Linked DNA regions of Arabidopsis thaliana. The protein of the gene in region 2 purifies or fractionates together with the protein of the main gene of each other region. This does not show direct contact. Each region holds a gene or a part of one and is shown on either strand. Other genes may lie near its edges. The genes, in order: CYCD2;1 and ICK1.

Region 1 (17,298 bases), 420 kb from region 2:
TGTCTAGTTTGATTTACCATTCACATTCTTGCTTTCAATTCTAGTGCCGCAAAAGAAAGATAAAGGTAGCTGTAGTTGGTGTGCCAAAAACCATCGACAATGATATTTTACATATGGATAAAACTTTTGGGTTTGATACTGCTGTTGAAGAAGCTCAACGAGCAATTAACTCTGCTTACATTGAGGTAACTTTCATGTACTCTCATTTAGGATATTCACTAACATGTCTCTTTGCTTTAAGTACTTAACCATTGCTATTTGGGCCTTCTGTATTAGGCACATAGTGCTTATCATGGCATTGGCGTTGTAAAACTGATGGGTCGTAACAGTGGTTTCATTGCTATGCAAGCCTCTCTAGCAAGTGGACAAGTCGACATCTGTTTGATTCCTGAGGTACTTCTTTGTTATTATTTCAAATTCCAAAACATGATTGATGAGCTCGCTCTAAGAGATCCTATGCATCTAAAGGTTCCCTTCAATCTTCATGGGCCTAATGGTGTATTGAAGCATTTGAAGTACCTTATTGAAACAAAAGGCTCTGCTGTGATCTGTGTAGCAGAAGGAGCTGGACAGGTAACTATAATTCAACCCCAAATTAAGGAGCTATTTCCTCTACTTGAGTTCTTTGTCCAGAAGTTATATCTTTGTTTACATTTTCTTGGCATGTTGTTTCAGAATTTTCTTGAGAAAACCAATGCCAAAGATGCATCTGGAAACGCCGTACTTGGTGATTTCGGTGTGTATATTCAACAAGAGGTTAGATATAAGCAACATTTGGTTGAGACTTGAGATTTCCATAGTGTAAACTTTGTTGCTTCTTTATGATTTGACAATCTATCTTCTTCTTGTTTTGTCGAATAGACTAAGAAGTATTTCAAAGAAATAAGTACTCCAATAGATGTGAAGTATATTGATCCAACATACATGATTCGCGCTGTACGTGCAAATGCCTCGGATGGTATCCTCTGCACCGTTCTTGGACAAAACGCTGTAAGTCACTCACACACACATCTCTTCAAGTCACTCTCTCATCACTTTAGATAAGAATCTTAGAAGTAGAAACTAAAAATGTTCCGATTTGTTTTAAGTCCATTGAATTTGTTAAGCTTATGATCTTATAAAAAACAGGTTCATGGTGCGTTTGCTGGATACAGTGGAATCACGGTAGGCATAATCAACACTCACTATGCATATTTGCCAATCACTGAGGTAATTGCATATCCAAAATCAGTGGATCCTAATAGTCGAATGTGGCATCGTTGCTTGACATCAACGGGCCAACCCGATTTCATCTAAAAAGATATTATTATTCAATCACGAAACAAACTGATGATAAAAATAAGCCTTGAAATGTATAGACAGTAGCATTCTTGGTTCCTTGTTATGATGTATCAAATCATATTATTTATTTAATTTTAGTAGGAAAGTCATTGAAGTTATTTATCTTTTTTTTTGTGTGTGTGCAAATAGTGAAGTTATTTATCAATTACAAAACTTTGGTAGAGTTAAAATGTGTTCCTTAGGGCCACTTTTGTTCTTTTAATTGTTCTTTGTCTCTTCCTTCAACTTTCTCTCCTTAATCTCTCTGTTCACGCCTCTCTTACAATTCAAACTGGAAAGTGCATATAATCTAAAAAATACGATCCAAATCGATCCGAACCGGTTTTGGTTACTTAGGCCATCTTCAATGGTGAGAGCCTCCCCATGGACTCTCTACAATTATTTAATATTTTTTTTGTCAAATTATTAGAAGAGAGCTTATGTTTTGTTTTTGTTAATTTTTAAGAGTCCAATGGTAATCTCTCTAGTGGTAGTCTCTCTAAACTTTCATGTTGAAAGAATTGCCTTGATTAACTACATTGATCAAAAGTCAGCAAAATTAAGCTCAGGAAACTTAGCTAAAACTTTATTAGAAAAGAGATTCACCACAAGTGAAATTTACTAGAACAAATGAATGCATTGAATTGGACACAAAAAAACTTTTCTCTTTTGTTCGAGACATATATAATGGCCATGAAACATAGCTACATGAAGTTAGCAGAAAACTGGTATCAAAATTATTGTTTTGCAGTATTTTATGAAACAACCAAACGAACCCATCTCTAGTGATTTTTCTAACGAAAATTAGTATCCAGAGTATCCACTTAGACAGCTTTCAAAAGAAAACGATGGAGATTTAAGTGGAAACTATACTACCTAGGTCTCAATGTTACAACTTAAACAATCATCTCCATTTATAAATTTTACAGGAAAAAAAGCTTAGGATAAACAAGGATCCATACCCTTTGCAACTCTTTGACTCCAACAGTATATTTTTTCTTCTGCAATTTTGCAAGTCATAGCATGTAGTGGGTCTGCCACAGAACGTAAATGTAAAATCCCCATATGAGGGAGAAGAAGGAATCAAAGAATGCTAAGAAAGAAGGAGTCCAAAACAAAACAAAAAAAACTGGTAAGATTCCATACATAACATACAAACTTTAGATTCATATTTCCAGTAGAGAAAACATATTGAAGCATGATGGATGAACTAATTTAGCCAGGTGGTTAGCTAGATTTTCCAACTAATACGATGGCATTGCGACAAAAGCAGATCATGTAAACAACTAAATCAATCAAAGCTTAATCATCTTCCTATCTCACAACCTCCTAAACAACACCAAACAACAGCTTCACTATTCCGGAACTGCCATTTTCAATTCCCCTATACGAGAGCCTAAATTACCAACCCTAATTTTTCTAGTGAACAGGAAGAAACTCAATTCAATGTCACTGGAAGACATCAGACGGGAAAACAAAATCCATTAGATTGGAAACTCCGACGCCGCTTTTCTTGTCAGAAAGACATCCCAAATCCAGGCAACCAAGATCCATGGTGGCTTTGATCATATCTTCAAATTTATATCAGATTAGCGACGAAGATTCAGATAAGATAAGCAAAAATCTTTGCTTCAGAAAGTTCAATTGGAGAAGAGAGAAGTAGAGAGAGGAGAATATTTTTGTTTGCTTTTGTTAAAACTAAAAGAGCCAACCACGATGCGCCACGTATGGGACTCTCTCAGCTTCCAAAAACTCTGTCGAGAAAGCCGATTCTCTAACTTATTCTGTATTTTAATTTATTTATTCACTTTAAACAAGAGAGACTCAACTTTTTTCCAATAAAACCTCCCGTTGGAGGTGCTCTTAGTAAAATCAGGTTGACCTGTTAAATTCGAGTCATATCAGATATCCAAAATCCGATCGGGTATCCGCTACTCCAAAACAATTCATTACATATTATAATTTTATGTTTGATCGGATAGATTTTGGATAATTTGGCTATTTAGGATATTTCGGATAATACGATTCGAAAATCTGAATGCCTAGACCTATTGGAAACTACAAAAAGTATATAGTATTGTATTTGTGGTTCTTAACTTGTATGATCTTTCATTTTTTACCTGTTTTTAGGTAATTCATCCCTTCTTGTTTTTTTTTTGGTTTTTCCTTTTTAATTATCTTCACTGGTAACAAATTTCTAAATGATTCAGAGTTTGTGTATGCGAGATTAAAGATTGAAATTTCATATAAATTATAATTATTGAAATCTCAATAACTAGATATCATTCTACTCTCATTTTTCTTTATAGAGCTAAATTCTCAGTCGTTTCACTTAATTTAAATAATTCTTATTGTTGAGTACTAAATTTTACGAAAAGAATAATTATAACTGTGACTAAAAAACGAGAAGCAAGAAAGTGAAGGCTAACTAAAGAGAAGATGAAAACTATGCAAGTAAGTTCGAAAGGTTCCCCACACTTTTATGACTCCCTCAAAATGCACTCTCCCCCACACTTTTCACTTTTTACATGTTGACCCTTGTTCTTTTCTTTTTACCCTTTTTCCCCCATTTTACTTTTTCTCTTTTTGAGCTTTTCTATGTTTGGTATAATTTAAAGTTTTAAGAATAATATAAATCATTATACAGAGAATCTTAAATCTACAAGTGTGGATGATCAAAAGTTGATGAGATTACATAAGATAAGAATAAAATAATTACCATTACGTGTGTAATTAATGTTTGCGAGAACCAAAATCCTTCTTGTTAACATTAATTAGATGTCTAATTTTGAACTAATAGTAAAAGTTCCTGTGTTGTTTTTAAAACATGACATAAAATAACTACCTTATGGCTTAAACGTGTAGTTTTATATCTTATCCTGTATTATTTTCTTAAAAAAACAAAGCATAATATGCTATCATGGATTCCATTTCCATAATATAAGCTGACGAAAATTAATATTAGATAACTGATAAGAAAAAAGTACAGTGTCTTGTGTGTTTGAGAATATTTAACAAAATCTGAAATGACGAAATAGTTAGTTAATTGTATATTGAGAAAAAAAGACCAGGCATGCCGCATATACCAACTTACATGTACACTTGGAACTTATATATTCGTATATAGTTTATAGATATTACCGATATGTATAAATATTCCAAACACTAAAGTTAAAAAGTTGTCTGAAATCACGATGTTATGTTAAACTAGATTCGTTTCCGTTATTGTTATCAATCAAAACAAGTTTATCGTGCTAATTTGATTTAAAATTCTAATTTTAAGGTTAACGGATTTAGTACTCATGATTAACACTTTGGCATTTGTATATAGAAAATTAGATAAAATAACTTGTATATGGTTAGATTCATATACTTTATTAGTCACTGTAATTTTTATTAGTAGTAGTAGTTTGACATATCATACTTTCTATTTATTTGGATAGATGAAAAATCATATATTTTTCTCCAATTTATTATGTATTTACGTATATTATGTTTGCCTTGTTGTTTTGGAGGTAGCGCATGAGCTACCACAACGATAGAAAAGTATTATTTTTCTTATTAACGGATGCGGGACTCCCAACTCTTTGTCTTTCACTTGTAAACTATTATTAGTTTTATATTTTGAGTTAAAAACAGCTATTTGTAAATCGCTGAATTAGGTTGCTAGACACACACTAAAGAACACACCACACACAGATCCACAAGTATACATGTTACGAAAAGAGACGAGTAAAGAAATTCCAAAAACTTGCATCTATATTTTTATGTTATAACCTTTTTTAGATGAGTAGTTTTAATTTTGTTTGTAATATTCATATCAAAATATTTCTCCGCCAGCATGCATAGTGTTAAAATTTTTTTTAACCTTTTTAAAAAAGTTGTCATAATGGAAGAATAAATTAAATTTTACACACAAACATGCATATACATATTTGAAACCCCCAAGAAGATGCTCATCTCGTTTTACACCATTCTCGATCTAAGATCTAAGATTCAATTTTTATTAACTAAATCTTGTTTCTTTTATATCCATAAAACTTAAATTAACACACTTAAAGTTTACAAATAAAACAACAACAAAATCGCCGTTTAAATAACTCAATCACACTAATTAAATAAAAATATTGGTATAGTATTATTATTTGTTGAATATTAAAACTAGAAGTAAAAATGTTGTTTTAGATGAACTTAACTTAAGTACTTTGGAGTTATGTTCGTAAATGGGTGGTAATCACGTTTAGCTATATTAATTGCTTATAATAATATTGAGCTGCATCAGAATATATAAATAGTTAAATACAAAACAACAAAAGAATATAGAAATATATTATTTATGTGCATAAATAAGCGAAAAGAAGGCAGTAGATTCCCAAGGTTTCTTATGCTCAGAGATTATTATTTTTTCTGTTTTCTCAGACACGAGGAGAGAGATAGAGAGAGATGTTGACCGGTCGCACAGTCAAAACAAAAATAAATGGGCCCACTAAACTCTTTTCGGGGCCCATTGTGGTTTTCTCTTCTCCAATCCCCAAAACATGCAATTGTCTTTTAAACCAATTAAGTATTTTTGTTGTTGGGAAAATTAGATATTTTTTTTCAAAGCAAAGATAATAGTAAAAATACATAAAATTCAAGGGTTGTATTAATATGTAATAAGTTACTAACCAGTAACCAGGTAAATAGTAAGGGTTTTTAAAAATAAATTCTCTTGTATATCGTTTTAGAAATTATTTTAATTTTAAATAATGTCAATTGTACTTCTTTTTATAACTAGAAGTTCTTGAGAATAGTAAGAACTTGAATATATTTAAGGGCAAAAATAAGTTTAGTTTCAAAAAAAATATCACATGTTTTCGAATGTTCCACAAATAGCACAAATTTAGTATTATTTTTAAATTTTTTTTGGAAATGTCTTACTTAATTGTTGAAAATATTTAGGAATATCTTACTTAATTGTTGAAAAGCTTCTAAATAATTTGAATTTAAATTATAGGTACTAGAGTCATCAATATTTACAGTGTTCCAATTCAATACTACATTCACAAAAATGTAATCTCATGTCACTACGATGTGATTTAGAACAGTTTAGAAAAAATTGTATGTTCCGATAATGGAGAAAATATAGATTTTTATGTGATAAAAATTTATCGGAACAACAGTTTTTTTTAACATGATATATGCATATTTATAGGAACAACAAATTTTTTGTAAAATGGAGAGAATATAGATTTTTCTGTGATAAAAGTTTTTTTTAATATAAATTTAAAATAATCTCTACTGCATTATATGATACTTTATAACTTCTGACATATGTTAAAATAAAAGATATATACTATAGTGCATATTTGAGGACACAAAAATCATAAAATTAATTCTCTTTCTATTTCTTTTTTTTTTAATTATATCTCTGACATTATGTAGAAAAAAAAAAGTCCCTTGGAGCAAGAACAGGGATGTCTCTCATCATCATCAATAATGACTTATTAATTTTGCCGCCTTCCAAAGAGCTCTCTCTCTCTCTCTTATTTTCTTTTTTCCTTTCTCACAAAACTCTCATATTCAATCCAATTTTCAGATTGAAAATGAGAAATCAAAGAAAGAAAAAGAAAATTTATGTAGAAAAAAAAAACCAAAAAAATAAATAAGAACCTCAAATGTCATGAGTACTTGTGGTTTTGGGTTGTAAAAAGCAATGTATGACTCTTTTATTCTCTCTCATTGTTTTCTCCTCCTCTTGTTGCTGTTGTTGTTGTTGTTGTTGTTGTCTGGACTACTCTGTGAGGAATTTGTACATGACTCAACTGTTCTCTCTTCACTCCTATAGCTCAAACATGTTGCTTCCAACACTCCAACTGGACTTGCAGGTACAGCTCTTACCGCAACTCGCGCCTGCTCCTGCGATAAACTAGTTCCCCGCACATTCTCCTCCCCAGTGAGACTTCTCATCAGATTCAAACATCTCTTCACCCTCTCCTGCTAAAGGAAGACAATGATCAGATGAAATGTGTGTTCTTGAAACAGTAAAGGTTTAAGTCTTTCGCTATCATACCGAATGTTAATTACCTGTTTTACATATATGAGACTAGACAGTGCCTTTTCCTCATCAATGCATTCTGTTTCTCCTGAAATGGAAACAGACACTGCAGCAGCTGCAGCTATCTCAGAAGGCCTGAAGTCTAAGAATTCAATTGCTGCATTCAATTTTATAAACAGAAACGTATCAGCCTTCCTCATTAAACAAAGCCAAGTTAGTTGCAAATAAAGAAAGAATGTTGTTATAGCTTGCTTCTGATCAATAAATGACGCACCTTTGGTGGTGTTTAAGATGAATCTTGACGATCTATAGATCAAATTCTCCGACACGTGACCACTGATCTTGTCAACGAAATAATCAATGAAGGAGAATGGAGTTAGAGCTTGCAATCTCCAATTCAAAGTGGTGACAACCAAAAGCTCCATCCTTTTTATTGTTTTGGCCTCAAAAACAAACTTGGGATCTTCCACCTGCTCATAGGAACAACATTTCAAGATTAGTTCCACTAAAACCTCGATTTTCGACTCTTCGTAAGAAGACTGAAGCTATTAAGGACTAAATGTAAGTTGCACCTGTAAATCAACAATGTGAGGCACATCAGTTTCTTCCATTTTGGATGCTAATGATAAGCAAGACACAGCTAGTAACTGAGCAGCCCAATCCTTGTCTTTCTACGCAATCGAAAACACACAAACCGGTCATCGTATTGTCTCGAATACGATGAAACCAATCCGCAAAGACGATGCAACTTACCGGCAATTCATAGGATGTTAAGAACCGATCCAAGTAGTTCATGGATAGGCATATGCACAGATGTCCAAAATGGTAATGAGCACAAACCTGTAGAACAATTGGCATTAAAGACAAAAGAACTCAATTACTCAACAAGATCAATACCTCAATCTATAGAGAAGATTCAATTAATCTATAATAAATACATCAGAGAATGAATGAGCTATCAAACTGATCAAAGAACACACTTAAACTCAATCACAAAGCACAAAAAGAGACCAAACCAGATTTGAGGTTTGTCTTAAAACACAACACAGATCAAAGCAATCAAAAGAAGAAATCACATACCTTTAGAATCCAATCAAGAGCTTGGTTTCGAACAGACAAATCCAAATCACCAGAAAGCAATCTCTTAACATAATCAGTTCCAGGGCAAAACTCAATCTCTCTCACCAACATCTCTTTGATTCTGTCTTCACTCAAGGACGATGAAGAAGAACCCATCATCGGAATTGATCCGTTGCCGCCAAAGTTGTCGTCTTTAGCAAAAAGTTGGTGATTGTAATCAATCTCGTTCGTAAATCCGCCGCCATAGTTGATATCATCATCGTCGTTGTCAATGATCCATGACTCGCTGGTTTCACCACAAGCAAGATTCTCAGCCATGGGGTTTGGTTTGATTGTTGTGTTGTGTATTGATTGATAATAGTCTGTTTAATTCGTTTATTGGGGTGGTCTCAAAGTTTTTGAGAGCGTTCGGACAAGAAAGTGAAAACTAAGGAAGCAAAAGTCATCAAAGATGGGAGATTTCTGAGGAGGTTTTGTCTTGAGGAACTGCGATTTTCATGGCAGAGGAGAAGAGAGAGGAGAGAGAGGCTTATACAGAGGAAAGTGGGTGAGTGTGTTTTAGGGTAGAGAGGGGAGAGACCACTCCACAGACTCGAAATGGAAAATACAGAGAATATACACTAAGAACAATATGTGGAAATATAAATTATATTTAAAATTTAAATCATATTGTTATTAATAGTTTAATATCACAAGTCCTTATAAACTAAATTTAAATTGTCATAGTAAAAACGACAAAAAAAAAAAAAAAAAAAAAATTGTCATAGTAAAATTTAGAAATTACATAAAGTCAACGATAAAAAAAAAGTATTCCAAAAAAATAAGTTGGTCATAAATGTTGAAATCTCCAGAGATACTATTCCCAAAAAAGAAGACAATTCACTATTTTTTGGTTTTCATGTTCTTGTTTAGTGTTTTGTAAACTTCTGAAATTGAATCATATGCTTTATTTACTTCTATTTAGTGGATCTTTCTTTTGAGGTTAAGGTTAGGGAACCTTGTGCTATTCGCCAACATCGGTAACGTCGAGATATAAACCGAAAAAACAATAACTAATAAGATCTCAATCACTTATGATTTTGAACTAGAGTAGAATAAACTTAAAGACGCCCAACTGTTTTTACCGCTGTAGTAGATATGAAAGACTGATTGAAAGCCAAGAAAAGAAAATGTCAAAGATAGAAAGAAGAACCATCGACCAAAACTTGACCTAAAACATCGGACTACCACCACATAACCTTAGAAACAAAATATGAAATGCGGAGTTGTGGAAACATCCAACCTAAGGAAAAAAATATATAGCTAAGGCTATGTTTCTATTAAGACGAATCATTTAGTAACTTCACTTATATAAAATATTTTGTCATGTTTAAGTTAATTACAGTTTAACTAACACTATACATTTCTTTTCATTTTCATGATTTTCCGGATCGATTTATAAGTGTTAATTTGGATTCGATCGTTTAGACATCATTTTCAACATGTGTTCACATCCTTCCTCTATTCTTAAACACCTAGTTATATGGCAAAGTAATCTGATACAAAAGATATTTGCTAATAAATGATCTAATAATTTTAGAAATCTAACCCGCATAGCATGAAAATTGCTTAGTTCAAATCAAGATTTAGGTAATGTAACTCACCTTTATTAGGTTTTTAACTTTTAACTAGGTGAAGTGTTCGCGGATTTGGCCCATTCGACATTGTTATGAAGCGGTCACGATTATGAAAATTATATCCCCACTACAGAAGAAACTAAATAGGATAAACTAACTTTAGCAGTAGTCAGATGTGGATTAGACTTCACGTAAACGTACAAGTTGCGATATGAGCTCAAGCAAACATCAGATTTTAGGGTTTCCAACATATTACTTAACATATAAATTTTGGAAATTATTTTATGTGTTTTCTAGTAACAATGACAACAATTACGATATTGATTATCTAAGGAGTGGAAGTCACTGAAGAAAAATTACTAAACAACTTTATTTCCGGATTTTTTTTTTGTTTTGGGGTTTTTAGGTTCTAGAAAATAATCTCCATTTGGAATCAAAACTATCAGTTTCGTTTGGACACGCTTTTATTATCTCAACTGAGGCCATCCCACTATATTACTAAAGAAAAATACTTCTAAATCCAAGAAGGAGAGACTTCTCAAACTGAATAGATAAATTACATTCAGAATCAGAGAGCCTATAACAACTACATGCCACATCTCAGCAATACTAAACAGTTTGTTCTTTATAACCAAGGCCAAAAATTTGTCTCAGAGAACCATTTTATACTTTACTATCTCAATGATCTATGAATTCCCTACTAAGCATATCAATATCATTGCAGCATAGAAGGGTATCAATCCAATCCTTTGTGTGATTGCAAATATTCAAGACATAAACAACAATTATTTAAGTCAAGTCAAGTCAAATATGATAAGGTTTGGGTTTCTATTGAACTTAAACAATAGATTAACATGCAATACCAAATTCAAATGCAACTATACTAAGGAGAATGTAAAGAACTAAACAACTAAGCAATGAAGCAGCATGCATATCAATTGAAACTAAAGACCAAAAGTAAACAAAACAATAAACTAAAGAAAATGCAAGATTACCAGTACTAAAGAAAAACAAGGAACACAAATCAATAAAGCACTAAAGACCAGGAACACATACTTCAACTCAAAATCAAAGAAGCATAAATGATCAGACGCAAGCAAGTCGAGTTCAACAGTCGAGTAAAACAATAGAGTTTAACAACAAGCAAATAAAACGAGATTCAACAATCAAATGAAATAGAGCTATTAAGAATAGTTTAATGGGTTATAGTGGACTCCTCAATCCATGTAACTAGCTAATGATTCATGTTAAATATTTGAGTTTTTGCAATCTATTTCTTCTGCAAAATTGTTTATCTTACTTAGATCTATAGCATACTAAGTTAAACATTGAACATAGTGAACTAAATAATAGTTTTTTTTAATGTAATTTGGTTAGTTTGATTAGGTTTTCTATAGTTCGAGTTCGGTTTAAGATCAGTAAACTCGGTATATTTTCCTTTTCAATTTTGGTTATTTTACTGTTTGGTTCGGTGTTGAATTCGGAAATTTTGGCTCAGGTTCGGAGATTTCAGCTCGGTGCCCGATCCTCCAATTAATTAGAGTTATAGTGTAACGCTTATGTTCTACAGCTATGTGCTTGACCACTACTAGATCAGAATGGATCCAACGATTATTAAACTATGTAATTACTTTACCACTTGACTACAAAATTGCTGACTTTACTTTGGGTAAGAATCACGCTTGTTCCATTTTATATAAAAACACAAAAAGGTCCAAAATATTTTCTGGCACATTTTGGTAACTCTATGGTTTTGAAAGTTGTAAGCTATTCCATATTTGTGCGCAAGCCTTTGGATTTTTGTGATCTAAGCATATACGATTTTCATTGAGCAATCATGATTAATTGCCTATACTAATCTCTTAGTTGGCTATTACGCTAAACTACCCAAAATGCCTCCTCTTCCCTTCTATTTTACATTTTCCATCTAGTCAAAGACTTATCAACATAATTATAATTAGGAAAAAATCTCAAATAAAATATCCATTTTAAAACATTTTCCCAACTAAAACTTTCAATATTTTTCGTTCCATATAAAACCTTGGAATTGAAAACAATTCCTAATAAAAACCTCCAACTTTTTTTTTTCTAAAATAAAACCACCAACTAATTAATTTTCTCTAAATAAATTTTAAAGTCGTTAAATTTGAGCTCGGTTAAAGGTTAACTAATAGTAAACGTCCTTTAACGATATAATTACGAACCTTAGAATACATTTTTTTTTCTTAGGGTTTATATATGTTTTAGAAACTAAAAAACGAATGTTGTCGACGACGTTTACTATTCCGAACAGAAATATCGTTGACCATTAGTCAACTACTATTTGAATTCAAATTTAAGGGCATCTTCATCAATGAGAAACTCACAAAGTTTCTCAAAAAAAAAATTAATATTATATTCTAATTTGATTATTTGATTAAAAAAAATATTAGTTAAAAAATTGAACCAATAGTGAAAAGAGAAATGTCATGATTGGTTGTAGAGAGTATCTTAGAGTTTTTCATTTGAGAAACTTTCTATACACTCTCTCCTTTATTTTTATTATTTTTATTTATTTAATTGTGAGAAACTCTTATGAGAAATCCCTACTGAAAATGGTCTAACAACTGGAAAGTTTATTAAGACAACATTCAAGTTTACTATTTCTTAGGTATTCTTATGTCACGAAACGCTGCTTGTTCATCTTCAAAATCGCAATACAAAAGTTATTTTCATGATTATGTGATGTCCTTCATCCGACAGAGAAACTGTAGCCCATTTTACGCCTACCCACCATATTCGAAATGATTGATCAATAGAACTCAGTCCAATCAAAAGCCCATAAATATTATCTGGGCCTTTTAATTATCTCAAATAGTAAGAAACTCAGAGCCCAAACAACTAAAACCCTAGAGTCTTCCTCTATATAAATATCTCATCTTAAAGACGACAAGAGAGATCCGGCGAAAACTGAAAAACCCTATTTTTTTCTCTGCTTTATGGTTCACTCAATTTTGTGTCCTGGTTTTTTGAAACCCTAATCTCCGTTAGTATATATGTAAAGGTAATCTATAGATGTATCAGATACTGTCTCGAGGTTCTAGGGAATGTTGAATTGGTCCTGCACTCCTGCTTAGTACGTAGTCTCGTGTTCTCTCTATTCTAGATTTAAGGGGTTTTTGTGAATTTCTTGCTTAGTTATGGTTGCAATGATGAGATCTTATAATGAAATTGAAAGTGTTTACACTTCATGAACGGTCGACAAAATAGTCGAACCTGAGCGGTTAGCTGAGCAACCATACTTATCTCATTTTAAGACAAAGATTTACTCTTTCTGCTTTAGATGTTTCATTACTTGCTTAGTTCTATGTTTTGTTTTGTTTTGTTGCAAGGATGAGCAAAAATATTTTTTGAAAGCATTGTGCTTAATGAGTCAGCGACTATAATGTCGACCTGAGCGGTTAACTGAGCAACTAAAAAAAGCTGCTTCTCTAAAATTCACTTTTTACGAATAATTTTGCTGTTAATTTTTCTTTTGTTGTGAATTTTGCTATTGATATAGGTAATTGATTTAGAGTTACCAATCCCGGTCTATATGATTATAAATAAGAATGAGAGTAATATAGTTGAATCTTCGAAAGTATTTCAAGAAGTCAGCTGAGCTTTCTCGTCATCACTTATTAGTAAATATAGTCTCTATATTTTTGATGAGTGATGATTGGAAATTTCGTTGACTCATTACTCTTGATGATTCTGCTATGTTGCTGCTCATTATGTTGTATCACCTATAATCTTAAAGAAAGACATGGAACGGTATTGCTTTGATTGTGTAGTGTGGACATGTCCACTAGCGAAGACGTCGGCATTCCGTTCGAGATGAGAATTTTCAACATCAATTTTTTGTTGTTATTCTGTTAGTGACTGGTTGTTGGTTTTGATTTTGATAGATATTGGTTTGTAACATTTTGGTAAATTCCATAACAATGTGATTTGTTATTACTCTGATCTTGTATGTTTGTATTGTCTATGTCTATTATCATTGTAGTTCGTCCTACAAATATTTGCCTAGAAATTATCTTGGTCAATTTAATAGATATATAAAATTCAAGTTTGGAGTTATATTTTGGTTTAAACTTTTTACAAAAAGAATCAACCATGATATATAAATCAATGTTAATCTAGTAAAACTCAAATTCAACTTCAAAGTGTAAATCCTCTTGCCCTTATTCTTATAGGGTAACATAATCAAAATTTGTCTATTATGTTCATCTGCTTTATATGGTTTCGTATCCAATTCAAACAGTTGGTGTGATTCTTTTCCCAATTTGGTGTTAGTTCTTTATCGTTACCAAAAGTTTATGTTTGCTGAGAGTTTTGAAAGAATCGTTACTAAACATTACTCCAACAAAGCAAGAGTTTTGAAAGAATCGTTTATGTCCGTAAGAAGAGAACAATCCATATCAACGCAACGAATGAGTTGATCGAATCTGATTCTGATGACTTAAAAGAGGAATTAGGTTTGAGTCGGTAAACGTGTGGAAAGTGCGTTCTCGTAGACGCGCTTTTAGTTTATGATGCTGAAAGAAGATTCTACATAGTAACGTATGTGTGAAACTAAAGCCATCTCAATAACACGTGGGTGCTTGTTACTGATTCTTGATTTTGTCTCTCTTTTTTTTTAATGAAACTTTTTGGTTGACCTGATGTAATCTTAACGTTTTGCGATATTTCATTGTCTACAGCTTGATACATGTCTATTATTGATCTTTGATATATATATATATAGCTAGGAAAGGTCCTTCGAAATTAATTTATAGAATAATTTGAACATGTCCAAAGTTTCATGAAACTTTCATCTAATTAAAAATCATTTATCTCGTCGTATGAGGATTCAGTAAAGACATAGTAATAATCCATATATATAACAAGCAATGATAAATAATATATATCTATATATATTTCATATCAACTGTTTTATACGATTTGATATAATACCATGGTTTATACGATTTTCAAAAGAATCGGGGTTTCTTAAATTCAGTTTCATTTTTTTTTTCTATAGGTAAAAAAATCCATGTAAAAATACCTATAGTCCAATTTTTATATCGATTTATCTGGACTGTACTCTTTAACTTCCACCGTAGCAAATATATCTTGAACAATAGCTTTGGGTGGAAATAAAATATGTCGGCAAATACTAAATATTGTGTACAAACAGGCCAGACAAGGTATTCTGTATTACTGTATATATTTGCACTTCTCCACTCTGAGTTAAGTGCTCTTCATGTACTACGGAAGCGTGATACAATACAGTCTGAATTCGTTTCATGTTGAAACGGATTGCAAAGTTAGTAAAAGCCATAGATGATGAAGAACCATGGCATGCATTTGCCACAGAACTTGATTCTTTTAATCTTATACGTTTCCGTTTTAGATTCTTTTCGATTTATCATATCTCTAGGAACAATAATGTTCACGCCGACTGTTTCTCTCTTGAACTTCTATATTTTCCCATCTAAGCTCAGGTTTGAGAGTGGTTTGCATATAAGACCAACCTATTCAAACATGCTTAGTGATATATGAAGTTTTTTGTTGCTAAGAAAAAGGTGTAAAATTAGGTGGTCTCAGGGCGGATCCAGAAGAAATATTTAATGGGGGCAAAATGTTGCTAAAAGGGTTTGAAGCTATGACCTCTTGGTTTTAGTGGGGGCATTCCTTACCACTTTCCTACCTTACATACAATATTTCTATACAAATATCATCAACTATTTATATTTTGCTGGTGGCAGTTGCCCCCACCAATCACAACGTGAGTCCGCCCCTGGGTGGTCGTGGTCTAATGCTTTCTTGAACATTTATTACTTTGAATTTCAGCTCTATGTAAAAAGAATTCATCTTTGAATGAAAAACAGTTTCCGGAAGGAAAAAAAGAAGGAATATTACATAGTTCAAACTTAACATAAATATATCTAAATAATTGATGCGAAATTCGGTGGTGTGGTGCTTTCTTTTCTTGAACATTGATTACCGAAGATTTTTTATCAAAGATCTTCAATCTTTCCAAAAAATCTTTGTAAAGCATCATCTTTTTTTGACTAAAAATAAAGCTTTCAAGAAAAAGAAACGAATATTACATAGTTCAAAATTAACATAAACGAATCTAAGTATTTCACTGCCTTGAATAATGAATCAAATGAACTGTTTCTTTCTTTCTTTCTTCTCCATGAGAAGAATTATCATATCATAGATCTATTCCAACAAATGGGAAACAATTTAAAACTACTCAAATAATCAAAAGAAAATTATAACCAGAAAAAAAGAGAAGCTTATTGTCGCCACCATCATTCATCTTCTTCAACATAATTCAACTCTTGTTTTTTTCAAAAGTCATAGTCCTTGAACAACTTCTTAACTTGTTCAAGCGTAACAAACAAAACCACCGTGAACGGTGCTTGTCTCGAAACCGTCGGGATAAAACCTTTATACAAAGACATAATCCCTTCCGCTTTCACCGTTTTCAAAGCACAATCAACCGCTCCTTTATACGGCGGAGCAACTCCAGCCACCACCTTCATATTCATCACTCTCGTCTTAATCACATCAACAGGATTACTCGCAACGCTCGCAACAAACCCCGCCGCGAAACTCGCCGACACATGAGTCCCAAGCCCATCTTTCAACAACCCTTTCTCCAAAATCGTCTCTTTAACAGAATCATACGAAGCCAACTGCGATGACGTCACAAGCATTGCTCTGTTTATCGTCAAAGACGATCCTCTCCACAACGACGTAACGCCTTCACCGCGAATCATTTGCGTGATCGCGTCTAAAACGCTTTTGTAGTTTCTTCTATCAGTCAACGGTAAACGACCATCGGCTTGCATCCTCACCATCGCCACGTCAGCAGGATTCCCAACGGCGGCTCCGATTGCTCCGGCGATGGCTCCGGCACCGATTTTTTTCATTAAAGGCATCGTTTTTGTTTCCGGGTCGGTCCATTCTCCTTTGATGATGTCGTATAAACCCATACGAGTCGTTGAATACAGAGTTTGACGAAGAACGGTGGCGGAGACGCCGGAAAACAGAGCACGCATGCCTTCTTCTCTTATTAAACGAGATCCGACTCCGATTACACCAACACGTAGAGGAGGCGCGTTGACGGTGGTCGAAGTCTGAAAAGCAAGAGCTGGTCGGAGATTGGTTTGAATCGGAGCTGATTCGCCTTGAAGTTGCATTCGGACCTTGATTAGATCAAGCGGGTGGGTC
Region 2 (16,797 bases):
AGCAAAAGCTGGTTCTTATGGGATCCAAATCAACAACACTGATCCCCATGCAACAAACAATAAAACGAAACAGATCAATCAGATAACTTCTTCGTTTTCTAAAGAACCAAATCATCTACACAACTAAATCAATCAAAGCTTAGTCATCTTCCTATCTGACAATGCTCTGATTCGAGGGAACGAAGCAAGGGTTTGGTGGGAGATTGGATTTGGGACAAACACATATAGAATTGGGTCATCGATTTGGTGAAACGAACTCGGAATGGTGAGCAGCGTCGAGAGAGACGACCAATAGAGAGAGTGAGAAAATTTCCCGACGGAATGAAAAATAAAGACACAAGGATTTTTTGTTGGTTAAATATATCAACCAACCACTGACTGCCACGTAGGAGGCTCTCTCCAGAATTATTTGTTTTGATTATTTTTAATCAACAACTTCAAGAGAACCCTATCAAATTGTGATACTCATATCATGACACTGACAAATAAAAGAGACCATGAATATGGTTAGGCCATATGCGATATGGCTTCAAAAACCAAGTTGGGACAATCTTATGTTTAGTCTTAAGTTTGAGTTCATTTTAATTCATTTTAGATACTATTGTTTGATGTAAAATTAAACTTTGATAAATAAATGTACCTAAATTTGGATTGATTTTTTCATAATCATGTTTAAAATTTTTGGTGTTATGCAATTCTGTTTTGTTTTGTTTTTCCATAATAAGCATCTGAACATTTTTACAATATTTATATATTTTAAGAAACTGAAGTTTTAAGATGTATTAATCTACATTAACCTTTTCTATTTTAATGTTAACAAATATTATATATTATAAGTACAATATTCATCAAATACTATAACATATATGTGAAATGTAAATATTTACTACTAATCAAATATCATACTGCATATTTGATTGCAAAAGAGCTAAAAATCATTAATATTGCACATTAAAAATAGTCAATAAACTAAAATCATTAAATACACAAATATATCATAACACAGCAAGTGTGTACCATTATTAATCAATAGATTTACGCTATACAAGTTTTCCGAATTATGTATGTGAAATAAATCACACCAAAAAAATGTATTTGAAATGAAAAAATTCCCCGCCTCTGTAATTTAAGTTTTTTAGATTAAAACAGCTAAACTCTTTTCATTAATTTATTAGAGATACAAGATATTGTTATTTGTTACCAATACCAATATGTAAATTTTTCTGAGTAATTATTATAATTAGTTGAATTTGGCTACCATATGCCAATTTTCAACACATAAAATTCTTTTAAACGTGAAAATTCCAATAATCTAAGAGCCAACAACCACGAAAATTAAACCTCGTTTTAGTCTAAACTCTAAAATGAGAAATAATTAGAAACCAATAAAGGCTCTTAAAGAAAGACTAGGTCAAGTTCAAAGCAAGTTTTGCTTTGTGTGGTGGTCGTCGTCTCTTTCTTTAAACACACTTGTTTTTTTCTTTTTCCTTTGACCACTCCAATATAAACAACCAAGAACCAGTGTTCCTCGTCCATTCACTCTCTCGTAATCACACACACACTCACTCATACGAAGCCAATTGTTCCACACAAATTGGAAGCGACGACAATGGAGCCGAAAGAGAACGGCTCAGAATTGGGTCAGAAGATCATTGACGGACCAACGAATCCAATGGTCACACCTTTACTCAATGATCTTTATCAATTCACCATGGCTTATGCTTATTGGAAAGCTGGCAAACACAACGAACGATCCGTGTACAACACACAATCTCTTCTCATGCTCTGCTTTTGATGTTGAATTCTGAATGGTTTTGTATATTTGAAATTGTTTTTGTTTCCTTTTCAGTTTCGATCTGTATTTTCGTAAGAACCCATTTGGTGGTGAGTACACTGTGTTTGCTGGATTAGAAGAGTGTGTTAAGTTCTTAGCCAATTTCAAATTGACTGATGAAGAAATCGATTTCGTTCAAGAGTGTTTGCCTGGATCTGAGGTATATCAAAAATCTGTTTGTTTTTAGATTGTTATTGATTAAAGTTTGGATTTTTAAATCAGGGTTTTATGTTTGTGATTCAAATTAGGAAGCTTTTTGTGATTATCTTAGAGGGCTTGATTGTTCTGATGTTGAAGTTTATGCAATTCCGGAAGGATCAGTTGTTTTTCCTAAAGTACCTCTCATGAGAGTTGAAGGACCTGTTGGTGTGAGTCTCTTTGTCTCTTTCATTTGTGAAGATTGTTTAAGGAATAGTTTTCTTGAATGAATGATTCATCAGTTGTTGTAAAATCTCCATAGGTTGTTCAATTGTTGGAAACTCCATTCCTCAATCTTGTCAATTTTGCATCTTTGGTAGCTACTAACGCAGCTAGGCATCGCTTTGTTGCCGGAAAATCTAAGAGTCTACTCGAGTTTGGTGCTCGAAGGGCTCAGGTTTCCTATAAATCTCTCTCTTGTTTTTTGATATATTGCCTTTTGTGTTGTTCTTTCCATCTCTGTCTGATGTTATTAGTGTTGGAATCTTAGGGTCCGGATGGTGCAATAAGCGCATCAAAATATTGCTACCTTGGAGGTTTTGATGCAACAAGGCAAGTCTTGCTTTTTGTTTTTGTTGATCTGGAAGTAGGTGAAAGGGAATGTGGAAATGATGTGTTTTGTGTTGTTGGGTATTTTGCCAATGACAGTAATGTAGCAGCTGGAAAACTTTTTGGGATTCCTCTTCGTGGAACACACTCTCATGCTTATGTTAGCTCATTCATGGTCAGTTCACTTCAGCCAAAAGTTTCAATTTTTATGTGGAGGTTACATACTTGAGTTAGCTAGTAGAGACGATAACACAAAGTTTCGTGAAAATAAGATATTCTTGTCAATGCCTTTGTTGCTATAACTTTATTAGCCATGGTTCTGATGCACACTTAATATCCTCGCTCATAACAATATCACAAAAGCATTTTCGATATAATTAGTTAACTTTGGATTGCAGAGTACTGATGAGATTGTTGACAAAGTACTTCGTAGTGCTGATGGGAAAACCACGTGCGAGGATTTTGTTAGTCATGTTCAGACATGGTTAAAAAAGATTCAGGTTTGTTTATTGCACATTTTGCTCTTCCTCTTCCTGTTTTCTAGTCTCAGGACCATTGTTCTATTTCTGCTTCAACCCTTTGCTTGAATCTTTGTCACAGTTTTTCTTATGTTTTGTTTCTTTGTGGATGACAGTATTCACCATCTCTAAGTGGCATTTTCTCTGAGACAAATCAAAGCGAGCTAGCAGCTTTCACCTCATATGCACTGGCATTCCCCAAAACTTTTCTTGCCCTCGTAGATACATACGATGTGAGCATTAAACACCATAGTAGATAGCTCATTTGAGCCTTAGGATTTCTAATAAACTCTTATATTAGTGTTTTGCTGACTGTTTTACAGGTGATGAAGAGTGGAATCCCTAACTTCTGTGCAGTTGCTTTAGCACTCAATGACTTTGGGTGTGTAAGAATCTCTTATCAATACCCGATCGTCTGACTTGACTTTGTACTTCTTCAGGATCATATGGAATTTGAGATGCAATTGATGTTTATTGTGCTGCGCAGATATAAAGCATTAGGTATTAGACTGGATTCAGGTGATTTAGCTTATCTATCTAGAGAGGCCAGAAATTTCTTCTGCACGGTAGAGAGAGAACTAAAAGTGCCTGGTTTTGGGAAGATGGTCGTCACTGCTAGTAATGATCTAAATGAAGAGACGATTGACGCTTTAAATAAACAGGTGACTCCCTAACCCACTCTCAAATGCCATGCCCCCGAAAGATTGATTATTATTAAGCAGTGTTTTTTCTTTCATCTCTATAGGGACATGAGGTGGATGCTTTTGGCATCGGGACCTACTTGGTCACTTGCTATTCACAAGCGGCCTTAGGTTGCGTTTTCAAACTTGTGGAGATAAACAATCAGCCTCGGATTAAACTTTCTGAAGATGTTACAAAGGTTAAAACTCTCTCTCTCTCTCTTGGTGTTCTGAACATTCAATGTCACATTGCACTTAATCTGATTATCATTCTGATTCGTTTAGGTATCAATACCGTGTAAAAAGCGAAGTTACAGATTATACGGCAAAGAAGGTTACCCTCTGGTAGATATAATGACTGGAGAGAACGAACCACCTCCAAAGGTAAAACGAAAGATAACTCTCTCAAAGATTTTAATCTCATTACCTTATTGCATTTTTACATAATATCTTTCTTGATATCAAAGGTTGGTGAGCGTTTACTTTGTCGTCACCCATTCAACGAATCCAAAAGAGCATATGTAGTGCCACAACGTGTCGAAGAGCTCCTCAAATGTTATTGGCGTGGAAGTGCAGGTAAAGATTTTCCGGTACCGTAGAGTTATTAATGACAATGCTTTTCACTGATTATTGTTTCTCTATACCAATGAAGATGAAGCAAGAGAAGTATTACCGCCTTTGAAAGAGATAAGAGACCGTTGCATCAAACAGCTCGAAAACATGCGACCTGATCATATGAGGAGATTAAACCCAACTCCTTATAAGGTATGGTTTTATCCGACAAACATGTTTTTCAGTTTCTGAGAAATCTGTGTAAATGTTTTTTTCTCTCATGGTTTACAGGTTAGTGTAAGCGCAAAGCTGTACGATTTCATCCACTTCTTATGGCTAAACGAAGCACCTGTTGGTGAATTGCAGTGACAGAACAACCAAAAAGAAGAATCTGGTTTTGGTTTGGTGTAATGTATATAATTTATATACCACAGCATCACAAATATGCATTTTTTTCACTTTTAGTTTCTTTTTCTTACAACATTTTGATGATCTCTCATTGTCGTAGTAAGTTTCATTTTCTTACTGAGGAAAGAAACTCTCTGCGTTCACTGGAACTTTGTTTTCAACTGATTCAATAAGATTTTATATTTACAGCTGTAAACATACTGGAGACTGTAAAAACATTTACTCAAGTCAACGATTTTGGATCAGGTTTAGTTTCGTCATATGGTTGACAACTTACTGTTGCAAACGGATTGGTAAGCAGTTGAGTTAATTGAGTTTTTTCTAGCAGAGATTTGAAGAACATTACCTTTCTTCAAAAACTTCTTTAGGCGTTACTAGGACGTTTGGGGTGGACCTAGTCACTAACCACATATTCAAAATTCATTTCCAAAAAGATGAATTATGGAATATGAGAATAGAAAAATACAACAGAGTAAATGAGGAGTAAAACTTTATTACAGAAACTTACCAAACAGTAAAAAAAAATATGGAATATAAGGAAACCATTACTTAACGAAAAATCACTTAACAAGAATACAAGATGACTAAAAATGACAAGACGATAATCCATCCAAATTGAGGTTAAAAACAAGTGATAGTTTTGGTCTTATACAACAGAGTTATACAAGTGTAACTTTGAATTCTTATGGTCTCCAAATAGCCATGGCTTCGAGGGCAGGGCACTCGATATGGGCGTGGGTTTTCTTGGATGAAAGTTAAATTTGTTGATATAAAAGAAACACATAGTATACACAAAACTGGTCGGGACCAATACTCTTTTTTTTTTTGGCTCCGTTCATATTTTCAAAACAACAATTCTTTAGTGAAAATTAATAGATTGATTAAAGAAAAAAATGTTGAGAAAACATGAACTTTCATATTGTTGACGAAAAAAACATGAACTTTTCAAATGTCATTTAAATCCTAAAGTTTAGTTTGACTTCTTAAAAAATAGTTAATTTAGTTGACTTGGCCATTCCAAACATATCTTTAAGTTTCCCTTAACAATATCACGAAAATAAAACAGCCCTCGATGAAAGAATTGTTTTTGTTTATTTGAGTCCCTCATTTAACCTGTTTGTGATCTGAATTAAGCTTACATATACAAAATGGTCCATGATCATTTGTTTTGAAGATTTTCTGAAATGGTCCATGAAAGAGTTTTGTTTCCAAGTCTTCGGATAATTTGTCTAGTTACAAAATGGTCCTGCATCATTTGGAATAATGTATTTATGGCATTATCTCAAAATTCTCTAACCATTGGGCCAGTACAGTATGCCCTTTACAGATCTAAAGTTTTATTATATGCTAGTATTATTATAATTAAAATTTTGAAAAGTTTCAAACCAAGTTTCGTGTGATAGAATGTTTGTGATTTGTTATTAATCAATAAACTTTAAGAATAACAGAATCATCTTGAAATTCTGATTGGTCGAGCTCAATCATATTCGGTGCTGAATATGAAACAAAAAAATTAGTTGGTGTGGTTAGCTGACATGGTTGGTACGATTTTGTTCAACAAAAAACTGCACTGAAATTGTCGATTAGTTAATTTAAGTAGTAGAACAATAATAACTAATTTCATAGTACTTTTTAATCCATATCAAACGTTGTAAGAAATAAAATTCTAAAATAATTTTAAGCGTTTAGGGCGGTAAGATAATCTACCAAAATGCATTTGATGTTTTTGGTTGAATATTATTAAAACGGAGAAGACAAAAAAATGAGTGTGGTTGTACCTGTGTGGGGATAGAATTTTATCAGTCACCAAAAACATAAAAATGTACTAAAGAATATGCTAAAAGATACACAAGATTCGAAGAAGAGGTAAAAGTAGAGCTAAAAGACACGACTTTTCTGGGCTCTAAAATCTGTTAAAAAGCTTTCTTCTTTTTCTGTGCAATTTCGTACTTCTAAAAACATTCCTCCTACAAATCTTATATTTCCAAATCAACAAAATAAAATTAACTTATTCCCTGAAATATTAAAATCTAAAAAGTTAAAAAAAAAACCATAAACTTCTTCTTCTTCTTCACTCTAACTTTACCCATTCGTAACGTCCTTCTAATGGCTTCTCCTTCTCGAAATCGAAATTGTACCTAATTAAAAAAAAATAAACTCACTCTTAATTTTACCTCAAAATCAATTTTAAATTATGAATAAAAAATATATTATCTATAAAAATCAAACTCACAAAATAAAATAAAAACTTACTTCTTCTTGAATTTTTCTTTGAGTTGTTTCTCAGCTTCCACAAAAAAATCTTCAATTTCCGATTCCGTTGGCATCTCCGTCATCAATTTCGCCTTCTCCTCCTCCTCCGCCGTCACCGTCTCCTCCATCGTTTTCCTCCCGCTACAACAACAATCTAACGATTCTTTAACCGCCGATTCAAATTCCGATGAATAATTCTCCATGGATTTACTTAATTCTTCTTTCTCCTCCTCTCTCAGATTTTCAAAAAGCTTCCTCTTCGTACCCCTAAAATAACTCACAAGCAAGATTCTAAATTTATTGAAGAGAGAGTCAAATAAATAACCGGGAAAATAATAAAACCTTCAAAATTCAAATCATTTTCAGTTTTTTTTTTAACACTCACCGTCGATACGTCGACGTTTCAGTGTCACCATCTTTATCTTCCTCCTACAAAAATTTCAAAATTTCAAAAAAAAATACATTAACATTAAATGATACATATACAGTTACAAGAATCTAGAATCAACAACATTAAATAACCTCCAGATGTATTAATTCTTTCTTCTTATATTCATTGCTTCCACTACAAGACGACGAAACTCCATTATCACCGACGACGGAGACAGAGCTTGATTTTTCCGATCTAACATAAACAATTCTCCGGCTCCGTAGCTGCATATACGTTGACGAAACTCCAGCTTCTACAATTCCTTTAGCTTTTCTATATTTTCTCACCATCTTCGATTTAGGTTACGTGTGCGTGAAGTCACAATCTCTGTGAGAGAGAGAGATATGATTGAGAGGATGAGGAAGAAGAAGAAAGAAAGATGATGAATTTGGTTTTGAACGGTCAGGATTGAGTTTTGTGCTGTGTGTGATAGAGAAATGGCGTGTTTTAGTGGTCCCGTTACAGTGACGGGGAATCTTTAACGGGGAAACTGGAGGCGCCGTTATTTGGATGTTATGGAGTTACTTATGCCGATGGTTTGTTTTATTGACACGTGTCGGTTATAAACGGTGACTTAACGGAACGGGAGGCGTAATAATTGTGGTGTAACTAACTATTTTAAAAACCCTCTCATCTATTGGTAATTCACAGATTTGCCATTACGCGAAACCGTTTAAAATGTTTTAAATTATAATTGACAAGCTTTTTGTATAGTTGGGATGAATTTTATAGTTTAGGTAAAATTAGAAAGTTCATATTACTTTAAAATGAATTGGATAGAGACTATATATAGATTATGTGTATAGTATAGGTGGATTGTTACGGATAGCCTAAAAACTACGTACCTGTGAGTAAAATAAGGTAAAAGTAAAACTGACACTAGAAATTATATTTTTGTTATCCCTGCGTATTTGCTTAGCCTGATGTCAAGTTGTCAACAGCACGTGTCGATCGTGATATATTGGGCTTAATAAGTCATAATATAGTAAAGGTTTCTAAGAACTAAACTTGGCCTCCATCACTTCCCATGGGCCTTGTCAGCCTTTCTATGTTTTGTTTTTGTCTCAAAGCATGAACAAAATGGAGTGGCGAGTGCATTCAAATTACCATGTCTTGCTTTAAAAATTAAAAATATTTTTTTTTTCACTGAAAGATAAATATATACTTCATAATTTCCAACCAAACATACAAAAAAATGTGGATCAAGGACAATCATTCTAGATCAACCAGTATTACACTAGGCATTTTTTTCTTCCTCAAAAAGTTGTTTTAACCAAAAAGAAAACCTAGTTGCTACATACGATTAACGGCGATCATTTTTTGTTACGCTCTTGGCAATAAAGTGAGCATCAAGATTAGATCTCCTTAACTCACCAAGCAATTTTCAATCCAAAAAATTCCCTAGTTTCTCAATCAAAAGAAGGGACTGAAATTTACATGAAGGTCATGCAGACGACTTTTGTTTTAATTGAATAACATAAAACTTTTACTCACTTTACAAAAAAGTATGAATCTATAACCCTAGATTTATAAAGATATTAGAAAACTTTTTATAAATCTTAAATTAATAACAAAGAACTTTAATAAACTTTTTAAAAATCTTGATTGAATAACAAACGATTTTACATAATCGTTAAAGTTCTTTTAAAATCATAAACCAATAATACCCCCTAAATATTTAATTTATCTCCTCAAGTGTTGCGCCCATGTTATGTAAAATTTCATCCCTATAAATACATCAGATGGTCCAAGAGGTTTCATGCATCAATACATAATACATTTTCGCCTTCGACTAAATATTATAATTTAGCTTCTTTTTTTTTCTAATTCTCGTCTCGGTTTTTCTAGTAATGGCGACGATTAATGTTTACGTTTTTGCATTTATCTTTCTTTTGACTATTAGTGTTGGTTCAATTGAAGGCCGAAAACTCACCAAATTCACCGTAACGACGTCTGAGGAAATCAGAGCTGGTGGCTCTGTATTGTCGTCGTCACCTCCGACTGAGCCACTTGAGTCGCCGCCGAGCCACGGGGTTGATACCTTCAGACCTACGGAACCTGGTCATAGCCCCGGTATTGGACATTCCGTACATAATTAACGGAGAGGAACAATAGCATCGTCTATGTGATTACATGTTGAAAATATGATTGGCCTGGTGACTTTTTTTTTCTGAATATGTATTTACGTACAGTTTCGTCATATTCAGTTTCTTGCAAGTGTGATTGTAATAATATTTATTTGATTAAATTAAGATTGATGTAATCCATCTTATTTTAAAAGCACATACATTTTTTTATCAGGTTCCAATTTTCTCATATATTTTTCTATCGAGATGTGTCACTCGCTTGAACTAAGAAATTTTTCTATCGAGATATGTCATTCGCTTGAACTGAATCATACGTAACTCGATCTAATCACAAACCGATTTAGGAATAGAACTATAGAAGCAATTTCGATTACTTGTTTATGTCTTCAAAATCTGTACGTAGAACGAATAACTATCTTTGAAATAATTTGGTACAGATATTCCATATCTGCGTTTCAAAATTTGAGCCAGACATTATTTTGCATGGAGAAAAACCTAAAAGTTTGTATTACGTAATATTAGTCACTGAAAAACTTTAGTTTGTTTGTTAAAAGTTTTAGACGGATGTTAGTATTTGAGAAATAAGCAATATACCAAGTAAAAGATGGTTAAGAATTTAGAGACAAATAACGAAAACTGAAGCTATATTTCCATTAACGAAAAAGTAATCATGTATATCCATTAACATAATCTGTATTTCTTTTAACTAAATTATATATTTATAGCTACTACTTCAAAAATTAAGAAAATAAAAAATATTTCCAAAATACTGATTTACAATTCTCATACAAAATAATAATTAAGACAGTCAAGAACCTAAGAGTATCATTAAAGGGGGGATATTAGGGAGATATTAGGAGATTCTTAGATTGTAAATGATTAAATTTAAATGTTAATTGAGCAATTTTGCTTAGAGGCCCTCTAAGCTAAGAGATCCTCTGAAGTAAAATGTGGTGGTGACGTGGCATGATTTGGTTGGTTGGAAGAATAATATTAAAGCCGAATTTTTTTTCTTACCGTTAATTCTTCTACTATGTATAATAATTTATAATATGATAGTAGAAAACGAACGAGATACTTACACTTACTTTGATGTCTCTGAATTTGTACAACCGGAATCAACTAGAAATGCACAAGTGGATTTCACCTATTCTACATATATGCCTTCAAATCTCGAGAATATATTGGAAACTCGAACTCGAATTCGTAATCGACAAGCACATCAATAATTGAATTTGATTTGGTTGAATATATATGGAAATTTTTTAGCAGAAATTAATAGTTAAATTTTATGTTTTCATGTATGTTTTAATTTTTTGTATGTCATCTATGTATTGAATATTATGAGTTCAATAATAATTAAGTTTTTATATATTTTAATTTTTAAATATATTTTTTTTAAGAACTTCAACTTAATATACTACTATTGAGCTTGCCAAAAAATTAAAACCTTACCAAAATTCTTAACTACAAAATTTTACAAAGTTTACAAATTTTAAAAAAGGTTAAGGGCTCGAGAATTTTACAAGATCATAAAGCTCTACTAAATTACATGAAACGGTCTAGTCTCCTTTAATCTATTATAGAAATGCACAACTTGAGCTTGAAATGGTAGGTAAGCTATACATGTGGTATTTCTCTATAAATTTGTAAAAGCTAACCGTACAAAAAGAAACCAAATATCATGGGATTTATTAATTGAATGGTCTCTCCTTATATTGGACCAAAAAGCGTTAGTCCAATGATGGTGAGTGATATTCGGAGTGTTCAAAAGATTCTCTGTCTAGCAGCTATAAATGTTTCGTAGGCTTCAACAACCAGTAGGATTATCATTTCGCTCAGAGTTCGTATAATTTAGTAATTAGCAGGAATTCTTTTTGTTGGTTCAATATTTGTCAATAGTAGTAGTATTCTTAACTAAATTATGACACAATAATCTATGTTTTAATAAATAAACTTGCCTTGATCAAGTAAATGACATATTAATCTATGTTTTGTAACCTGGCAAAACAATTTTAAAATGATATATAAACTACATTTGTATGACTAATTTTCAAAGTAAAAATAAAAAATCCCACAAAACAAATTATTGTATTAATAATATAGTCTGTATTATATGCATAAATATATCATTAAAATGGGTCAAATATATTCCACTATACATACTTTAATATTACATTATGTTTTCGCACTTTAATTTCTTTTGATTAATAAATCAACGGTAGAAGATGTACGACAGCCTTGCAAATCAACTTTAATGCACAAATCTATGAGTTTGTTTGGTGGCGCATGAGCTTATCGTAAACTAAACATCTTCTCGCTTAATATTGGTATATGTTCGGCACCTTTAGCAGAGCTATGGGGAGTGTATTACGGTCTCTATATTGCTTGGGGGAAGAGAGTGGAACGGTTGGAGTTAGAGGTGGACTCGGAGTTGGTGGTTGGGTTTCTAAAGACAAGGATAAGTGATTTTCATTCGTCGTCTTTCCTGGTACGGTTGTGCCATAGCTTTATCTCAAGGGACTGGATAGTCCGTATTTCTCACGTGTATAGAGAGTCTAACCGTCTTGTCGATGAGTTAGCTAACTATGCTTTTTCTTTGCCATTAGACTTTCATACTTTTAAGGCTTGTCCGCCGTGTGTGGCGTTGATTGTGGATGACGACATACGAGGAACTACAGTTTCTCGGAATGTTCGGGTGTAATTTTTTCATTTTATTTTTAATAAAAAACAGGAAGAAATCCCTGTGCCTCACAAAAAAAAACTAAACATCTTCTATGGCCTCCTCTTCATTTCGAGTAGCCAACTAATTCTTTTTTTTATCTTTATTTTTGGTTTGTTCTTATAATCATTAAGATTTTAATCTACTGAATAAAATTTTCATTAAGTAATAGTGGTGTACAGAAACTAAAGTGGGATCCATTCAAGGGACTTCCAAAAAGGCAGGAGCTAATTAGAATAATGTTTAGATTCCACCTCAAAATAGATGAAGTGTAACTAAAGGTGCACACGGTTAAACAATTAAAATGCAATTTTATTACACCCTAATAGCACTTATAAATCCTACTGGAAAAGAAGAAACCCAATAAAAAACAAAACCCACACTAAGATGAGATATATAGGTGTATTATGAATTGTCCATTTTATTATTGTTAATATCATTATTATATATATACATATACATACATATGTTTATAATATAGAGAGAGTGTTTTTAATTATTTCATTTGTGTGGTTACATCCAAATATGTTTGATTACTAGTTTAGGGTGGTTATTATTATGATTAAGTTAATTTCTGTTTCGTTTTCTTTTACATGGATTTTTTTTTTTAAGATTCATTGTAGAGAAGAGAATGGTATTAACTTGTTGTTTTTTGTCTAAAATAATAAAGAGAAGACAAAAGGCCCAAAACGATTGAAAGAAGCAATAGGGGACAGCGACCGTATGCAAGATCCAATAGACTATAACCTGATGCTTATTTCTTTACAAATTTTTATCAAGTCTCATGCCTATGAGCCTCACTAATTTATGTAATAAAAACTATAGCTTTAGCCATACCAACTTATATGATGTCTTGTTTTATAATTTCCAAAACCATCACATCAAAATTTACGAATTATGATTGCAAATTTTTGGTGGAATTTCAAGTGGTAATCAACGAAGTTTATATTAGAAAGCTTGAAAAAAAATATTTTATTTAAAATAGTTGGAGGTTTAGAGTTTAGGATGGTTAGAGCAACTGCATCGCTAGTTTTTTAATAGAAACTTTAATTATTAAAAACAAGAAAAATAAATAAAAATTAAAAGAAAGATGAGAGAGAATCTCTAAAAATCGTAAATCAAGGATCAATCCTATAAATAAAGATACATGTGTGATTTTATTGGTCGTTTGCATATATTAAATAATTAGAATATAATTATAGAATTACAATATTATTACTTTTTGTTTTTTTTAGAAACTCTCACAATCCGAAACGTTGGAGTTGCTCTGTCATTTCAATATGGCTTTGCTAGTAAAAATGTTGTGAAGATTAATTAATTTAATCATCTGGACTCTTTAGCATAAGTTTGCAAAGTTGCTATTATCAATACTTTAACCCCATGCAAAAGATTAGAAATTATCCTCATCACTACTTAATCCATATCTTTGATAAAATGACATATATAACATGTTGAATCACAATTTTCTCAAAATTTAGAATAAATTGAGTCACTGGCTATAGAGGAGATCTTTCCATAAGAGAGACCATTACAAGGACCACCTATATTTTCAGTACAAGCGCAAGTTTAGAAGTTTAAAGAACTAAACCATTTTATGTCGCAAGTAATTTTTGGATTTTTTCTTTTGGATAAATTAGTGTAGAATGGATTATTTTCAGTGGAAACATGTTGCCTTTTTAAGAAAACAGGAACCGCTAAATACAGTAACTCATACATAGAGTGAGGTCTTAGCTTAGACAATGAGATGATACCTCCGAAAAATGAAAACCTCTTTCCCTCTTTACATGTTGTCACCAGACAAACGGTTGTCACCCTTCAAAAGTCATTCTATGGTATTTTCAAATCTTTTTGTTTGATATACTTACGACGTTCTTAACAAAGTTTGGTATGGTATAGTTTTGTATTGATTATTCTTCGGATACATACAAACTAATATACTATCATGATCACATCGAACTATAGTTTTCATACATGTTGATGATATTTGATTGTTGGTAATGATTTACCTACCTTGGGACGTTTTAAAAGCTTTTATTGAAAGTTTTTCATGTTAAATATTTGGATTAACCCACATTTACACTATAACTCAGCTATGTGATTCATGTATTATCCCAATTTATGCAGACGAAAGTAGCACAAATATACACAATGGAAGGCCACATTTTGTGTGGTGTCATTCTTAAAGAGGTGTCCATGTCAAATGATCTTATTATGATCTAATAATGATATTTTTGTTTATCGTAGAAGACAAAGAAACAAACGACGGCGTCACATTCTTTTCCTGATCGCAAAGTAACGCACAATATTGGCAGTGGGTACATGATAATTTAAATGGAATATTAATTCGTTAAAGCTTGACGTTATTTATAACGTTTCATTTCAAAGAAAAAATAACTATTATAAAACATATTATGAGAAATTAATTCGTCAAAATCAAATAATTTGGAGTCTTTTAGTTTAGCTAAAGAAGGAAAAGGAGAATATTAGACAGGGAGGCAAAACTAACATGCAAATGCTTACAACTTTCCCTGAATATCGAACATTTTATTGCGGCGAGGCTGAACATTAATATTAGCCATCAATTAATATCATAAATAATAGGTCTAGCGAAACCACCACTACTTTTTCAGTTTTCACATGTTTATGTCTCATCCTTTCTTAAAACAATATTTCACTTTGTATTATTATATTCTCACGTATCATTTTGTTTCCATTTCTCACATATTAAGTATGTATTACTATCCGTGTTAATAGTTTAACTGGTCTCCTAGTTATTCATTCTATAAAGTCCCGTCAAGTTCAGGGATGATGGAAAAATCAAGGGCTACAGAGAACATGGACCTAAGACCTGAAATTTTTTGAGTAAAAATTATGAATTACTACTAAAAATGAAAATATGGTGTAGGTCGCATTCTCTCTGTTAAAGGGGCAAAATAGGTCTCTAACCCATGTTTTCTTTTTATATTTTGTTCAAATAATATCTTTAAATTTTATTAGTAACTTCCAAATTCTATAATCTAGAGTTAACTTTAATCTTAACTCTACAATTCTTAACTTTAATCACCGCCTTAAGCTTTGGTAGCCGAGAGAGTGTATAATGAAAGTTTGAACCAAAAAAAGGAGGAAAAGGAAAAAAAGTACTGTAAGAAACAGATAATAAGACAAAGAATCCCAAACAATTTTTTCTTTTCTCAAACAATTAAAACTCTTGTTTTTTAAAGAGAAAAAAAGAAACGTTATATACGAACAAAAATGTCACCCCGAAAAGCTTTTAAGCTCTAGCATATTTTTGTTATGGTCATGCAAAATTTGCGGTGAAGAAGACAAATAATATATTTTTAATATAAAACCATCTATAGGCATCAAATACTCTGCTTAAACCCACATCTAGATTCACATGGAATAACTAAGAACAATATGTCATTCAAATAAAAATCATATATATACTAACAACAATTTTCCAAAGTTAAATGGTACGAGAATAAAGTATTTATGTATATTATAAGTCCTAGATTACAATCATGGGGTCTTGCATGCTCCACGAACAGTAAAGGTACGGTCGTTTTCCATCAATAACTTAGAAACATCGGAATCAATCGTTTAAGTCCACTTTGTCTTTAAATAGCCACAGATTCAACCTCAAACTCTAAATCATTATTAAACCTTTCATAATACACATATATCATATATATTGCTACTACTCACGATCAAAGACTTTTAAACCTTATTTTTATATATTTGTAGTTTTGGATATGGCAAAGACACGTCGTGTAATTTACCTTTTCCTTACTATAGTACTCCTTTTCTGCGAACTCATCGACGAGGCGCAAGGTAGCCGTTTTAGGTGTCATCACTCAGAAGATTATTCATGTAAGAAACGTTCAAGCCATCACCATCATCATCATCATCATCATCAGCAGCAGCAGCACCATCACAAGGACACTCCCCCAGAGGAGCTTCAAGGAAGCATCAAGACGAGGAGGAGCAAGGATATTTATGGTCTCAATGCTTTCCGGTCTACTGAACCAGGTCACAGCCCTGGTGTTGGCCACTTGATCAAGACCTGATAGAAAATTGAATTTATTAATCTGGATTTCTCCTACTCTTTTTCCCTTGCCTACATTGTTCCATCAACCAAAGGTTGTTCACTTTGGAGACCTAATTCAGTTATGCATGAGTCATGCTGTTTTCTCATATTGTAAATAGTATAATTTGGTTTGGTCTCTTAATAATGGTTGTCGCTTCGTAATTTATGTTTCCATTGTTATCTTGCGGTTCTAATATATATATCATAGCCAAACAGAATAACAATTAACAAATAAAAAAATAAATTATTTTATACTCTTGTTTTTTGGTAAATATTTATGCTCTTGGGAGATGATCTTTATAAGAATCATCTATTTTACAGGTTTCAAAATTTGCGTTAATATTGCAGCTACATTAACTTTATATGCGTCCGATATATTTTCTTGACGTACCTGTAACGTGTACAACTAGTGTCTAGTGTTAGAATTAGGCACTTAGTTAGGCTAATTAAGTAAAGTTTATAGTACGTAAATTTCATTG

Evidence for each region.
Region 1: the proteins of ICK1 (region 2) and CYCD2;1 purify together in Arabidopsis thaliana (affinity purification with western blotting, with the first as the bait; one study listed by BioGRID). This does not show direct contact.

What each region holds. Positions count from the first base shown.
Region 1 is NC_003071.7:9,547,119-9,564,416, forward strand, and holds CYCD2;1 (Cyclin D2;1), read right to left. Parts: upstream 9,028-17,298; 5' UTR 8,756-9,027; coding exon 8,438-8,755; intron 8,198-8,437; coding exon 8,111-8,197; intron 8,029-8,110; coding exon 7,930-8,028; intron 7,828-7,929; coding exon 7,632-7,827; intron 7,515-7,631; coding exon 7,387-7,514; intron 7,300-7,386; coding exon 7,039-7,299; 3' UTR 6,685-7,038; downstream 1-6,684. Other genes in the region: PFK5 (phosphofructokinase 5), read left to right, coding at 45-185, 277-393, 469-573, 676-756, 862-990, 1,129-1,296; UCP5 (uncoupling protein 5), read right to left, coding at 16,413-17,298.
Region 2 is NC_003071.7:9,970,210-9,987,006, forward strand, and holds ICK1 (Cyclin-dependent kinase inhibitor family protein), read right to left. Parts: upstream 7,882-16,797; 5' UTR 7,713-7,881; coding exon 7,515-7,712; intron 7,422-7,514; coding exon 7,378-7,421; intron 7,260-7,377; coding exon 6,993-7,259; intron 6,878-6,992; coding exon 6,811-6,877; 3' UTR 6,381-6,810; downstream 1-6,380. Other genes in the region: NAPRT2 (nicotinate phosphoribosyltransferase 2), read left to right, coding at 1,610-1,758, 1,850-1,994, 2,083-2,202, 2,295-2,429, 2,523-2,584, 2,681-2,756, 2,980-3,081, 3,216-3,332 and 7 more; AT2G23440 (uncharacterized protein), read left to right, coding at 9,273-9,521; AT2G23445 (uncharacterized protein), read left to right, coding at 15,724-15,784, 15,976-16,298. UniProt on the Arabidopsis thaliana protein: Binds and inhibits CYCD2-1/CDKA-1 kinase complex activity. Regulates cell division which is crucial for plant growth, development and morphogenesis. Functions in turning cells from a mitotic to an endoreplicating cell cycle mode.